Linked DNA regions of Arabidopsis thaliana. The protein of the gene in region 2 interacts with the protein of the main gene of each other region in a biochemical or structural test. Each region holds a gene or a part of one and is shown on either strand. Other genes may lie near its edges.

The links. Proteins that work in one complex are often made in the same cells at the same time.
Region 1: of the proteins of SUMO3 (region 2) and CDF2, one has a biochemical effect on the other in vitro, tested with the Arabidopsis thaliana proteins (one study listed by BioGRID).

Annotation. Positions count from the first base shown.
Region 1 is NC_003076.8:15,874,928-15,883,580, reverse strand, and holds CDF2 (cycling DOF factor 2), read right to left. Parts: upstream 4,856-8,653; 5' UTR 4,662-4,855; coding exon 4,428-4,661; intron 4,009-4,427; coding exon 2,869-4,008; 3' UTR 2,802-2,868; exon of another isoform or gene 2,500-2,801; 3' UTR 2,044-2,499; downstream 1-2,043. Other genes in the region: AT5G39670 (Calcium-binding EF-hand family protein), read right to left, coding at 1-311; DAU2 (transmembrane protein, putative (DUF679)), read right to left, coding at 7,582-8,316. UniProt on the Arabidopsis thaliana protein: Transcription factor that binds specifically to a 5'-AA[AG]G-3' consensus core sequence. Regulates a photoperiodic flowering response. Transcriptional repressor of 'CONSTANS' expression.
Region 2 is NC_003076.8:22,384,635-22,391,507, reverse strand, and holds SUMO3 (small ubiquitin-like modifier 3), read left to right. Parts: upstream 1-5,302; 5' UTR 5,303-5,436; coding exon 5,437-5,511; intron 5,512-5,688; coding exon 5,689-5,838; coding exon of another isoform or gene 5,839-5,929; coding exon 5,930-6,040; 3' UTR 6,041-6,251; downstream 6,252-6,873. Other genes in the region: AT5G55180 (O-Glycosyl hydrolases family 17 protein), read right to left, coding at 947-992, 1,239-2,523, 2,608-2,674; SUMO2 (small ubiquitin-like modifier 2), read left to right, coding at 6,736-6,807. UniProt on the Arabidopsis thaliana protein: Ubiquitin-like protein which can be covalently attached to target lysines as a monomer. Does not seem to be involved in protein degradation and may function as an antagonist of ubiquitin in the degradation process.

The DNA of each region.
Region 1 (8,653 bases), 6.5 Mb from region 2:
CCTAAGCTTTTCATAACCATCCCTACATCTTCTCTGCAAAGACCATCATCATCATCATCACGATATTCTTCGTGTTTGATCGAAGTTTGGAACTCAAGATCTTTGCTCTTCTTCTCGGAAACACATTGCTGGTGTTGAACAAGAGGCCAGAACCTAGAGAAAAATAACTGAGCAAAAGAAACCCATCTGAAAAAACCGATGAGGAAGAAGTTGATCAGACCAAACAAAGGGAAAGACAAAGAAGAAGACTGTTTGCATTTAGACAATGAACTCTTCATGGTTATAAAGCTATATAATTGGTTTTCAGTCATAACTTTTGTTAGAAGTCTATTTGAAAAGTAAAACTAGGCAAAATAATGAATCACAAGGAAAAGAATGTTTTGGAGGAGATGTTGGAGATATGAGTTTGTTTTTATGGTTGTGTATATATAGATGATGAATAAGTCAATGTGGACACAATTTTGGTGGCGAGGCAAAAGAGAGGAAGTTGCAGTTGGAAGAAGAGACCAAGAAGGATAGGGAAAGGAGAAACTTACAAAAAGACTTGGTGTAAGATAATAAATAAAGAATTAAGAGGAAATTTCTTCTGCACCTTTGATGGGGAATTGTTTTTTGTACTTTTTTGGAAAGAAGTTGGTCATATTAATATTAAATTGTATTATACACCTATGTATATATTACAATTAAGGTTTTGATTGGTGACCCCTTACATTGTTAAGAAAACTAAGGAAATGTTAAAATATGTATGTGTGTCTTAGATATCATACATGATACGGTCGGGGATACTCCTTCATTGTCAAAATATAAGATGTTAACTAGATTTTAACCCGCGGTATACCGCGGAACAATTTATTTTTTAAAGTTAGTATACATAAAAGTTTGCAAAATGTATTATTTATTTTTAAATTAATGTTGATCTTATTTATGATATGTTTATGAATTATTGTCTAAATATATTGTAATTTTGTAGTAATTAAATGTTATCAAATATCTCTGCGGTTTGATGATTATAATCGAATTGTTATAGTCATGGAGAAAAGCAATATTAAAAATGATAATTTTGTAGTAATTAAATGATATTAAATATTTTGGAAGTTTTATTTTAGTAACTAATTGTGTAGTTAATGTGGAGAGATTTAGGGAAGGTTGTTAAATGTCAAATATTTAATTCGAAGATTTTTTTTCTAATTATCAAAAACAAACATTAAAATTCAGTGGCAGCCATTGTAAATTATTTCCAACTACAAGATTTATTTCATAAAATGGCTGCAAAAATGTATATGTAGGTATAAGATGTTTTGACTAAAAACACGTAAATTAAGAAATATTTAAATTTTTAAAAATTTACCAATTATAAAAAAAACTGCACAATACAAATGATTATAAAATATTAATATATAATTTTCGTAGAAAGTTGAATACATCTTATAATATAAATTGGAAAAAAATCTCCAAAATATATATAGAAGGAGTATCTTTTTGGTTTTATAGGTTTTTTAGAGGTTTTATTTGTTTTCTAAACCAAATCGACATATTTTTGGTCATGGTTTGAATTGTTGTATTGTGTGGTTCAGTTCATTCTTACTAGTCTTGACAAATTTTGATACAAATTTCATATGAATACTTACTTTACTTTATGTAAAATATTCAGACGAAATTTCGTATAAATTTTGCAAGAGTAAGGCAGCGAGACAAACAAGTAGACTAAGAAAAACATAAAAAGCAAAGGAAAATTTCTTATAGCTAATTTCCACAATTAAGTAATCGTTTTCTCACCATAATCCGTGACTTGTTTGACCAAACGTAAGAAATCAATTAAACGATGACTAATTCAATAGTACTCTTATTGTTCTAGTCATGAAAAAGACTAACACGAATTTAATGTCACAATTGCAACTAATTTCCTTACTAAATTTCCTGGAAATTGCAACTGAACAAACAAGGTAGTGGCTTTCTTTTTCTTTTGGCGTTTTTCACAAACTTCTTCTATATTAATTTACTACTTATCTCTTAATATAGTATCAAAATGTTCTTTCATTGGTTGTTTTGGTCAATAGACGATAAATCTTCTGATATAGCTGACTTTGTCAATCCATTTAGTGTGGTTTCTTTAATATTTTTAATCCTAGATTATACAAATATCGAACCGTAGTTGGCAGCTTGCAATATCTTCTCTTCATGCATCTACCACATTGCTTTTGCTTATGTATGTTGTCAATAGACTCTCCATTCATGCATCAACCATGACCATTTGCTTGCAGTGAAGAAGCTGTGTTTGCGTTATTTTCGCAGTATTGGTGATCGCGGCTTGCTTTTTCGAGACTTGGTTCATGTCTTTGTTGGGTGATTTTTGGACTGGTTATAAGAATGACTACACATCTACTAAAGCAAACCTGATTTACCATGGTAAACACTTGACATCGCGGTCATCTAAGAAGTTGAAGACAGTGGTTCGCTCCTCCGCGGATGCCGAAAACAAGCTTGTTGCTGCCACTACTACTGAAGTCCAATAAGTTAGATCACTCTCAAGATTCTGAGAATCATACATCATGTGGATAACTATAAACGTTCCTTTAAACTTGTTTGAATTTGTCTGTGAACATACAATGTCATGATAGGGAAAATAAGTTATTCATGCAAGATACATTTATTTAACTACAGTTTTGAGGTTTTTTCATTTATGATACAACAAACTTTCACTCTGCAATCCAAAAACTACTTATCCCTCACTATGTCAACCATTATATATATATACACAAACATGTGTGTGTATATATAGCTATATGTACAAAAGGACTCACCTGCTTTCTTGGAACACAAGACTGAACCCAAAAACAATCAAATCAGCTGCTTAGATTCTTCTTCTTTCTATGAGCTCTCATGGAAGTTTGCTGACCTAGAAAGAGCAGCAGGATTCGCTTGCAACTCCGGTCTTCTTCCCGGAAGTCTTCCTTCAGAAAGACTGCTTTTTTCTTTGGTTGATGATCTGAAAGCTCCGAAAGTATCCGCATTTTCGTCTTTTTTGATCCCTAATGTTTCCCAGATGGAACTTTTAGCAGCTTCCTCTGGATCATCAATCCTCAGCGTCTTGGGAACCCACAAGCATCTCTCGGGTTTGCTTTTCTCCCTACCAAGTGACTCGGTTTCATCAAAAGCGGTTCCTGGTTCAGCAGCGTTCTCGTCACGTGAATGTTTACCTAGTGTAGGAGAATTTGGATTGGAACCAGATGGTGAATTGGGTTGTGGCATCCATGTGAAGCTGTTCCATGCCCCCGGTGAAACCCCCGGGCAGCTCCAGTAAGCCGGTGGAGGGTAAAACGGTAAAATCGTCCACGAAACTCCGTTCCAAGCGTAAGGCCAAGTTGGTGGTGGTCCTGGAAAGCATGGAACTTTTGGTAACGGGCTGACTGTTCCAGCTTCTTCGTTTGTCTGGTTTAACGGAACCGTAATCTTCAAGCCTTCATTGGGTTCTTGCAATACAGTTTGTGTCTTCAACAATGACTTCTCAACAAGATTCAATCCAGAAGCCATAGATTCACAAAGCACAGAATCAGAGCCAAAAGTGAGAAGATTTGCACCATTAGGATGTTGAAGATCAGTTCTCGCCACCTTCTGCATAGCTTCCGCAGATGTTATACTTACATGACGGTTATAATGAGAAGCTGGACTCTTATTCTTACGTCTCCCAGCACCAACCGGAACATTCCTCATCGTTCCACCAGCTGTCCAATATCTCTGACATTTCTTGCAGAAATGGCGAGGTTGGTTAACATTATAGTTGTTGTAGTAACAGAACTTGGTTTCCATGCTGTTACATCGCGGACACGGTAGAATCTTATCAGGTTTCTTTAACTTCCCCTCTTGAGAGCAAGCAGTACCACCTGACTCTTCATTCGTCTTTGCAGCTTTTGTTGTTTCCGTTTTTTCAGTTATACCCGATGTAGTAGTAGTAACATCATTAGATTCATTCCTCAATGACTCTTCCTGACACTCACTATCTTTTTCTTCCTGAAGAATAACATAAGAACCAGAGTCAGATCGTTGTTATGTATCCTAATCAAACAAACAACAAACAGAAGCTAGAAGCTACAGGGATCAAAGACTTGATTCCAATCACAGAGAAGCTAAAACCCTGAAAAGTTCTTAAGCAAATCAATATCAAAACCTATAACCATCAATCAAAACCAAATGGAACTAATTAAGATCTCAAATCACTTTATAACAAAAGGAAAAAAAAAAACTCATTTGAGAATCCAGATTTACAATTTTCGAATCCCCAAAAGCTCTGAAAACCTAGTTCTTACATAAACAAACCAAAAATCATAACTTTATCAATAAAACTAAGATTTGACCAATCTAACATAAACCCATCAATCATTTCCATTTAACAAATCAAAATCAATTCACAAGTTCCAAAAAAAACTAACCTTTTTATCAGTCTCGCTCTCTCCTCCACCATCACCAACATCATCACCTTCTTCTCGTCCTAAACCGGAATCACCCATCTCTTCATCATCATCATCGCCGGTACACGAATCTGATAACCGAACAGGAATCTGAGTTTCGGTTAAAAATCCGGTATAGCTAGAAGAAGAATCAACAACACCAAGCTCAGGTAAAGGAATCGTCTTTCCAAAGAGCTTAATCGCCGGATCAGCCATGGTAATGATTCCTTTTCACTTCTTTCTTTCTTTCTTCTCCAGCGAGCAAAAAGCGGAAACTTTTTGAGAAGACAGAGGAAAAAAGTTCCAATTTTTATTTGTTTAAAAGAGAGAGAGAAACGACTGTCTTGTTATCGGTGGTTGTCTGAGTTTTGATTTCTAGATTTGTTAATTGGGAATGCTTTTTTGTCTTTGCGAGAGAGAAAGAAAAAAGATTTACAGATTTTGCTTTTTGGGTTTGTGATCTTTCGAATTGTACAACCTTTTGATTCGCCCAGAGTGCCACGTCATCACACGTGAGGATTCTTAGCCACAAGTTTATTTTTGTTTTTGTGGACTTTTTTTTTTCTCTTTTTCGTCTCTTTTTGGCTTTCTTTTTATTTTCCTTTTCAATCTGGTCAGTGGTCAGCACTTTTTTTTACTTTTACTTTTCTTTTCATTTTTAACTTTTTTATTTTAAAAGTCTGAATTTTTTTAAATTAATGTAAAAATGGTTGATTAAAGGCCATTTAACTTCTAATTTACATGTTTTCTAATTCTAACTATGTCAATAAATTTTTTGTTACCCACACATTTATTAAAAAATTACTGTTTATAAATGAAATTTCAGAAGAAAAAACAAACTTTAGAGTAACAAACAAAAAACATATTTAAAACCTTGAAACACTTTTTAATTCCTAGCTTTCTATAATAGCCATATCCATGGAAAACAATATCATGATTAGATTTGGAGAGAAAGAAAAAAAAAACATATTTATGAAAGAAACAAATTACATGATATAAACATTAATTTTCTCATTTTTAAAGAACTAAGAAGATCCAACAAAAAATTAAAATACTAAAAAAATATAGTATTTTATCCCCAAAAAAACCAATCTTTGTCTTCAAACAAATCCATTTTACAGATTGATACTCCTTGTGTTCTTTTTTCTTTGATTTTTTAGGAAAAACACAAATATTAAGAAAACATATTAAATGTTGCTTTTAAATGTATTATTCTTTGTAATTTATAATTTTCAATAACTCTAAACCAATGATATTCAATAATTCTTATTGAAGTTTACAATTTATCAATTATAACTAAATAAATATTGCATTGAAAACCAAAAAATCAATCTTTTTGAAACAATTTTTTTCTAGAAAATCAAAAAAAAAAAACAAAAGGAGTATGTGTTTTTTTACGCTGATAATAATAGTCATTTAGTTACAGTTTTAGCTTGGTACTTGTAGGAAAAATAAATTAACATTGAAATCACTTTCTTTTTTTTAAATGAAGCTACAAGTATTTACTATATAGTGGATCTTCAGTTTCTTTCCTCTTTTTTGCCTATATTCTTGTCATAAAATCTTCAACATATCAGAGATACGTGGCTGTAATAAGTCGATGTTAGAAGTTGTGGTTACTAATGAACGCCAAGTCGATTTGGAAAAAGTGCAATATTGTGGATAAGAAGTAATTGAACGCCAAGTCTAACATTGAAAAAGTGCAATTATGTGGATAAGTATATAGTACCTTTATTTCAGACCACCCCAAATCACAAATATATACTATATAATAAAGTTTTTTCATTACATTTATTATATTATCCCCACTTGGAGGCACGACTGATAAAGATTCTTAGGAAACATATTTTATCATTTTTCGACTGTTTCCCCGAACTAAAGAAACGTTATTTGAGTTTTGTTTTATTAAAATTAGCATTTTTCGTATAAAAACAAGTCTCGTTGATATATCACATGACTTGAACATTCTCGAATTAGAACTTGAATGAACTATATTGTAAAAAAAAAAAAAAAAAAGAACTTGAATGAACTATATTGTAAAAAAAAAAAAAAAAAGAACTTGAATGAACTATATTGTAAAAAAAAAAAAAAAAGAACTTGAATGAACTATATTGTAAAAGCTGGCTAAGTTCATTAAGTGACTCTTGGTGAAAACGGAGAATTTTTGCTTAATGAAAACATGGTGATCAAATTTCGAATATTACAATACAAGATTGATTCGAATAAATTTTCATATCGTTACTAGGAAAAACAAAACTCCATTTCATTATTGCTAATTGGGTAGACTTTTTATCTTCGTATTTATAGAAAATTTGTAGATCAAGTTATGTGTTTATGTAGATAATTTTACTGGCTAATCAATAAAATTAAGAATTTTCTTTTCATACTGATGAATTTTCTGACATGATATCAAAGCATAACCATATAAATACTAGTATTTTGGTTTGTTCGATCCCTCACATATTTGAAATTTCTTCTTCTTCTCTTTTTTCTTCTTTCTTCCAATCTTATATTTTGTCACTTTTCTTCTTGTTAGTCTTTGATAACGCTGGTTCTTTGTAGAATTGCGGGATATGAACAAGGGACCTTCTCGTCTTCTTGACTATGTTGATATCTTTGAAAGAGTGCCGAAACAAGGAACGTGTTATGAAAAAAAATCACTTTTTAATCCTATCAATTCATCAGAAACTGAAGACAATGAACACTTATACAACTCAGGGGTTGATAAGCTCAAATCTAAAGAACTCATAATCTAATCTAAATAAAATAGATACAAAACACAACGTGGAGATTAAGACTTTGGGCCAACATGACATGCCTACACAACAAAAAGGACAAAGCCCACGCGGACTCTTTTTTTTTTTTTTGGCCTCCACTACATCACGGACTCAATTGGTAATTAATTGCATAGTTTGAGATCTTAACAAAAAAAGTACTGCATTGAGGAAGCTTTTACTAACGTCATAATGTACTCCTCCTATCAAACAAGTCTAGATAGAATCAACACAACATTTTATTTAACAATACAATAGATAAAAATAGTAGAACATTGGAGTTTAAATCAGATAATCTAAATTACAAGGAAAATACGAAATAGATACTAAAACAAACCAAAAAACAGAAAAGTGAAAATAAATTAACCAGTCATGCAACCAACACCATATCGAGTGGTCGGAAAAACAAGAAACAAAGCACTACAAACAATTCCAACCATTATTGGAAAACTCTCCATAACTTGATCCATCTCTTTCTCTTTCCCTGGAAACAAACATCCCGTGACTCTTCGATCCGAAAACGCAATCGCCATAAACACCAAAACGCTCATCACTGCATGAACAAAGTCATTAACCGTCAACTTATACCTATCATCAGTCACCGGAATCTCTGCCTCCGCTATAACATCTCCGCCACCAAACTCTGGAGGCGGCGGTTTCATGAACACCGCGAGTCCACGTGGCGTCACGAAACCGTAGTAGATCTTCCCATCGGATGCTTTGAAACTGTCGGTAAAATGGAAGAAGAAACAAGACATTGCGCAAAGAAGCAAGAGGAGATGAATCATGAGTGTGTTGATTCCGTTACAGTCTCCGTCACGGTATATTGATGGAAGAACCATTTCGAACATCAAGAGTGTTCCTGTCGGAAGGAAGTTGACGAGCATTGATGTCTTCGAAACCGTTTTTTGAACTCCTTGCGCCACCATGCGACGTTTTCGACCTCTTCCTCCTCCAGCGGCGGCTCCTGACGGGAGGGAAGGCAATGAAGAGATTAAGACGGGTTTTGGTGAACGAGAAGGTGGTGATGGTGATGGTTTTTGCGGCGGAGTCGCCGTGTAAACTCTGATTCCGACGCTTTCCTCTGTTTTCTCCATTTTCGTGTGTTTCTCTCTGTTTTTTTCTTTTGTGATTTACCAGTTTTTCGTATGTTGTGTTAAATGGTTTAATGGAGAATGAGATTTTTGTATTTATTTTTCAAATCGCGGCGGTTATTGACGGTTATAGAGTTTCATCGGACGACGGTTTATGTGGGAAAGGTTTTAGAATTCTTGCTCTCTCTGATAACAAGCCACGTGGAACAAATGAAATTAGTGTAAATGGGCTTGAAGTCCATGAATTGGCCCAAGCCATGTGTTTCTTAAAGAAAATTTCCGCAAGTTATTATTCTATCAAATGAAACATTACTTAAGAGATGATGTATTTGTCTCTAAT
Region 2 (6,873 bases):
GTTGGTAGTAGTTGAAGAAAAAGCCATAGACTCATAGTCCATCTAAGAATATGTAAGTCTTGGGATGGTAATCAAGTACTGTATATGGTTTTGTTTTTAAAATTTTGAAACCGTGTTTGTACTATGTTTTGGTTAAATTGCCACCGTGTTTTGCGAGTACACTATCTCAATAATGCAAAGGGAAGGAAGTTCGATTAGCAACCACACGATGCTTACAATCCAAAACCTTAAGCTTTTTAAAATGACATAAAAAAGCAGAACATTCTTGCTATTTAAAACGTCTAAACTGACTCATCTAAGATCTTAGATATTTCTGGAGGAGAATACACATTCAGTAATAGAATAATAACAGACTTCACAACTATAAAAGCATTAAAGCTATTCTTGGTTCTGAAGATTCCATATCAAAAGACTTGATGAGTTTTCATGTAGTATAATGTATTCACAGAGCTTTGTGACAAACTATAACTCAAAACCCATTTTTCGAGTTACAGGCTTCTATATGGGAGTTGGTAGTGTAGTCGTAGCTCAATTGATGGTAGGCGCTAATCAAGTTTGATGAAGTAGGCAGCTCAAGGTTTTGACTCTGGAGTATTGGAATGAAACAATATGGACAATATATACTGTTGAGTTTTGCTTGGATCATGATCAGTTGATCACCAGCAAAACGAATCAATTTGAGATTTTGAAAATAATATTGCAATGTTGTTTATTGGATCAGTTGCAGGATATAATGGTTTATATCAACAAAGTTTTGTCAGTTTTATAAACTCACGAGCAAAGAAGTTAAGGCTTAAGGGGGAAAGAAAATCTGACTATTTATCCGATGAAACCAACCAAATATACAATAATAAAAATAAATATACGCAAATCATATACTCGAATGACAAAAGAACAATGTATCAAAATAAATAACGTAAATAAATCCGCACGATCCTCTTCTTCTCTATATCCATTTCAATGCCCTGTTGGAAACTCGCATTTCCCATACTCTACAAACACATAACCAACAAAAAATAATTAATTTAGTTTACGTTTCCGTCTATACGTCACAATTTAATTATAAATCTGTATACGTAAGTGAAGCCCAAAAAAATAACATTTGTTGTTAAACCATCCCAACTCCCATAATTATTATCTAACCATCTTCCAACTATTAAGAACGTGAAAATAACTATACTGTATATGCAAAATACTTACTAATCAAAATAAAATTTTGGAGAGGAAAGATAGGGTACTTACTAGGAGGTTGCGAGACCACGTACGCTGCACCACCAAAATTACACGTGCCAACTCCACGTGCGTTCTTCTGATAGTAACTGTTGAACGCGTAGGAAGCGTGAGCTTCTAACGATTCAGGATTATAACACGTGGCACCCGGTTGAATCGGACGGCAATCAGCACCTCCTTCGCCACAAGCGTAGTCGAGACCTTCCTGAAGCTTCTCCTTCGTCGTTTTACCATTCGCCACACACCACGTCTGTCCCACGAGCGACGGTTTCACCGGAACAACCTTCTCTTTGTTATCGTTGACCGGCGTTGACTTACCGTTGAGCGAAACGTCATACACTTTGTTCTCGTTTGGGTAAAACAACCCGTAGTTTCTCTCAGAAGTCGGACCCGTTTTCTGATTCTCGTTAAACAGAGCGAACAGATAAACGTTTAGTGGCTCCTTCGGTTTTAACGGCGTTCCGTTTCCCGTCAACACTCTTTTAACTAACCCGCCGTTATACGCCGCCGCGTTAGCCGAACCAGCACCAATCTCGTTCTCGTCTCCGGCAGAAGGCCAGCCTGTCTCTGTCACCACAAGCTTAACGTCGTTAAATCCAACGGCGGACATTGCGGCGAAAACGGCGTCGATCTGAGCGTCTAAGAGACTGTTATACTTCAAACCGTTACCGGAATCAACATTCCCGGCGTTCTCCTTAAACAACGCGTAATCCAACGAGATCTTATCGGCGTTAGCTGCGTAAGCAAAGAAAGGATAAGCATTCACCATAAGATGCGACGACGTTTTGCGGAGGAGATCAAGCATCGGTTTAATAACCGGTTCGATTAACTCCGGTTTAAACGAACCAGCCGACGGTGGATACGAACTCGCCAACGCGCTTAAAGCAATCGGCGACGAGATCTTAATGGATTTGTCGAGATTGAACTTGACGAGAGAGCTTTGAACATTCTTCATAGCTGGAACGAGATACGTCGTCGTGTTCCTCGGATCGACGAACACTTCGTTCCCAACGGCGATTGCTTCGATATCCGTCGCTGGAATGTACTTCTTTATGTTGTCCTGAACCCAAGTGTCGGTGTAGCTCTGATCTGCGGCGGCGGAAGCGAGGTTTTCGTTGGGGAGAGAGACAACGACTTTGATTCCGGAGTTCGCGAGTGCGGTTAGTACAGTTGTCTCGGTGTCGTAAAGCTTGATGCGGTTGATTCCTTGTGTTTTCAGTAGCTCAACTACTTTCTCCGGTGCCGGAAGATTGTCTGCTATACGGCCGTAGTTAACTCCGATCATTCCAGAATCTGATAAGAAGACAAAAACAAACAAAGACATCAGAATCCAAACAAACTAAACTCTGTGGAGAGATGATGAAAATGAGAACTAACCTGCATAAGTGAATGGAATGGCTGAGAAGGAAGAGAGTATGAGTAGAGATAAAACGAAGACCGCCATTGTTGTGTATAGAGAGATAAATAGAGAAAGGTTTCAGTTTTTGTATTCCGGTGAAGGAGAAGCTAAAGATGGTGTTTATATAGAGAGACGAAGAAGAAGGAGAACGAGGGAGGTGGATGTAGTGGGTAGGACCCACGTGAGATATTGGGGATGACTTTGTTTTTTTTAACTGTACGGTTTTGTGATGTAAATATTTCAACTCGATGACGTGTCTAAAGTAAATATTATTTTAATTGTGGATTTGACCGTTTCAGTCGTGTACTGATTGGAGATTGTTGTACCAAATGTTGTCAGAGATTGTGGGGGTACGTGCCAAAATTAGCATTCACTTTTAATTAATTAGGGTCGATTTTACTGCAGCTTTTTTCCTTTTTTGGGGGATTTTATTAACGTTATGTTCTGCATAAAATGAATTGTATAACAAAACGAATTTGTTTAGACATACAATTGCATTTGCAACAACACTTTTAATACGTTCCATAATTATTGGGATTTGGGCACTGAGGCAAATAAAACATGTAGTATCAGCTGGTAATAAATACCTATTAATCACTGGTTGAAAACAGCTGCTAATTATCCGTTAAAGTTAGGATTAATAGGTGAAAAAAACTGGTCGGAGGAGTGATAATTATTAATCGATAATGTGATGCATTGATTGGTCGGAATTAGAATTATTATGTAAATTAATGGTAACTGGGTCTCGTCGAGAAATGAAGAATCTACAATGGGGCCATGTGTCATTCATTGTTCTATACATGTACCAAATTTTGAACGTTGAGCTCTCTGATTTCCAACGTCTCTTTTTCGTACGTCCTAAATATTCCGTCCTTTTTATTATTATTTTGAATGGTTGGAGTTATTATGTTAATAATTGTGTTTAGATATGTTTCGATAAATTTGTAAATCCAAGTATAGATTTATATGAAATATTTGATAGTAACATTGACTGATTCACAAGTTGGTTGTAACTAATATTTTGACTTAGCAAATTGGGCTAATGAACGCGTTTAGATGTGCGGAGGAAAAATGAACATTTTAAGGTTAGCTAAGCTAAGCAAACACCTCAAATTATTTTCCAGTAGTATAATAATGAATTAATCTAAATGGTCCATCTCCGTCCATGGATAAACAAAAAACGATATTTGTAGAGTTTAGTTGTCCTATACAAATAGAACTCTATCGCTAAGCAATTAATGTTTCCTTCTGATGTAAAACCAAGAATTTTGGATGACATTTACGGCTAGTTTTACTAATTACTTGGTGAAAGATGCTTTTTAGATTTATTTGAATTTAATAATTGTGGCCGAATATTAACGGTTATGTACATATAGGCATAGAATGTTAATACACATACGGTAATTACTACTACAGTTTGAAATATAGTTTTATCTTCGGTGATTGAGACCTGAATAATGAAACTAATTAAGAGTAGACATCATAATAACTCCACTATCAAAAGAGAAAATAATAGACATCATCATTTGGTAATATTGTATTTGATGATTATATACATGTTTTTGTTTGTGTATCAACTTGTCCACTAGGTGGTAATCTTATATGTATCAATGTATGCTGGTTTACATATACTTTAGTATAACAATTTAATTTTTGGATTATGAAAGTAACAATAATTTAATAATGTATCTATGGAGGTTGTCGACATCGTACGGTATGTTTCGACAAGGCCCTTAAGTCTTAAGTCGGTACATGAAATTGAAAATGAAACACAATGACAAGTCCATATGAAAATTGAAAACATTATAATATCCAGAGAGGTGTGTCACCTTCAGATTGACTTATTTGTAACTATTATGAGTTTATGACGAATTTCTAAATATAAACGTTAACTAATATATTCGTATAAATATAACATCATCATTATTAGTTTCTTATCAACCAAGAGAAAGAATTCAATGTGGTAGGTCACTTGGATGCTGTCCAACAAATTGAGTTTTAGATAGGAATGTTAGCATTGTCCCTGATCTTTACGTTACGATACAATGCCTATTAGTTTATCAAATTAAAAACTGGAAATATATTATGTCGGGCCGAAATAGAAGTCGTCACGAAACATAGACTAACCATTTACACACTATGACGGTCGACGTACATTATTTTTTAATATTAAATAATAACCATGCATGCATTAGAAGTTTAGAACATCAAGAAATATATAAATTTTATAAAGAGAGCTTGCCCTAAACTTTGTCAAATAATATCATAATTTTGAGTTTCTTTTTAAAATACCACAAAAGTTATGTTTGCTAAGATTTTTAAAAGTTTCTAACTGTTGTATTTTTTTTGAAATTATTAGATTACCGTGGTAATTAGATTTTATTTTTAAATATGATTTATAAATTTTCTAAAAACTATTTGGTCGGTTCACGAAAATGGGTTCCAACTTTATATACTGTGTAGAAGTAATTAAGCCCACATATGAGCATATTTGATCTTAAACCAGCCCAATAGCCCATTACGAATGCTTGATTAAACGGCAGTGTTTTCATGTACGAATTCCACGCTCTCCTAGCCGTCGGATGATAAGCTACAATGATTATGAGCCGTTCGATATATCACCACAAGAATCTGTAGATCAAAAGTGAGTGCGATCAAGAACTGGTTTCAGTCACTTTTTTGACAAGTCTCTCTTTCTCAAAAGTCAACCCCTTATTTTGCAATACTGTATTGTGAATCTCTCTATCAGGCCTTCGTATTTCTCACAGACTGGAGTTTTTGTTTCATAAAATCTGATAAAAGGAAAGATGTCTAACCCTCAAGATGACAAGCCCATCGACCAAGAACAAGAAGCTCATGTCATTCTCAAGGTCAAGAGCCAGGTTTTTTCACTGTGTTCCCTCTTTAATCTCCTTGAAATTTTCTGTCGTTGCTGCTTGGTTGATAATACTATATATACAGTTTCTTGATATGAAAACTTTGATGATACTCTTTTCCAAACTGTGATGATCTAAAGTATAGAGTGATTAAAATCTTTTTTCTTGATTGGTGATACTAAGGATGGAGACGAAGTCTTATTTAAGAACAAAAAAAGCGCTCCACTTAAAAAGCTCATGTATGTTTACTGCGACCGCCGAGGTTTGAAATTAGACGCATTCGCTTTCATTTTTAATGGAGCTCGTATAGGTGGCCTGGAGACTCCAGATGAGGCAAATCACTCTCTTTTTCATTTCCCTTTTACAATTTATATGTTTGTCAAAAGTGTATCATTTACTAAACCAAGATTCTCCAATTTTAAAGCTTGATATGGAAGATGGAGATGTGATAGATGCGTGCCGGGCGATGAGTGGTGGTCTACGAGCAAATCAGCGTCAGTGGTCTTATATGCTTTTCGATCATAATGGGCTTTAATTAGGAATAATTTGGCTGGCTTTGTGATATTTGACTACTTTCTTCAAGCAAAATTACTTGAAGTTTAAATCATGGTCGGTTATCGTGTGTGTAAATGACTCATGAGTGATTGGATCTTATGAATTATGATATTAATGGTATCTGGTTACGGATTTTTAGAATCTTTGTACTTTGTTAATTTTACAACCGTGAATAAACAACTCATCAAAACCTCTAAAACTCAAGTTGGCTAATTGTAAAAGGTCACACAACAAAACCATATTAAACAATTGAAATCTTTACTGGTTTGATCAAAATCAAACGGTTCACTTTGAACATCTTCACTTTTCCCAACTCAAACAAATCTACTCGAAAGCTGAGATTTTCACATTTTAAAATTCTTGGGTAGACACAGAAGTAACCAGCCCATTTGAGCCCATTAAGAATGCTAAAACGACATCATTTTAAGTTAGAGATTATACTCACTCACAGCCGTCGAATGATATAGATCAATGATTATGAACCGTTAGATAAACAAGAATCCGATGCGACCAAAGATAGTGGTTTCAGTCTTTTTTATTCTCTGCCGAGTCTCTCTCTCTCCCTCAAACCCTCAAGTTCTGCAATCCCGCGAATCTCTCTTAGGGCTTCGCTTATATCGCAGATCGAAGTTCTTGTTTCCAATCGCCGACCGTATAATCTGATAATAAAGTAAGATGTCTGCTACTCCGGAAGAAGACAAGAAGCCTGACCAAGGAGCTCACATCAATCTCAAAGTCAAGGGACAGGTTTTCTATTTCTCACTCACTCTCTCGACTTCTATTTCTTGCATTGTGTAACGATTCGTTGTCTGG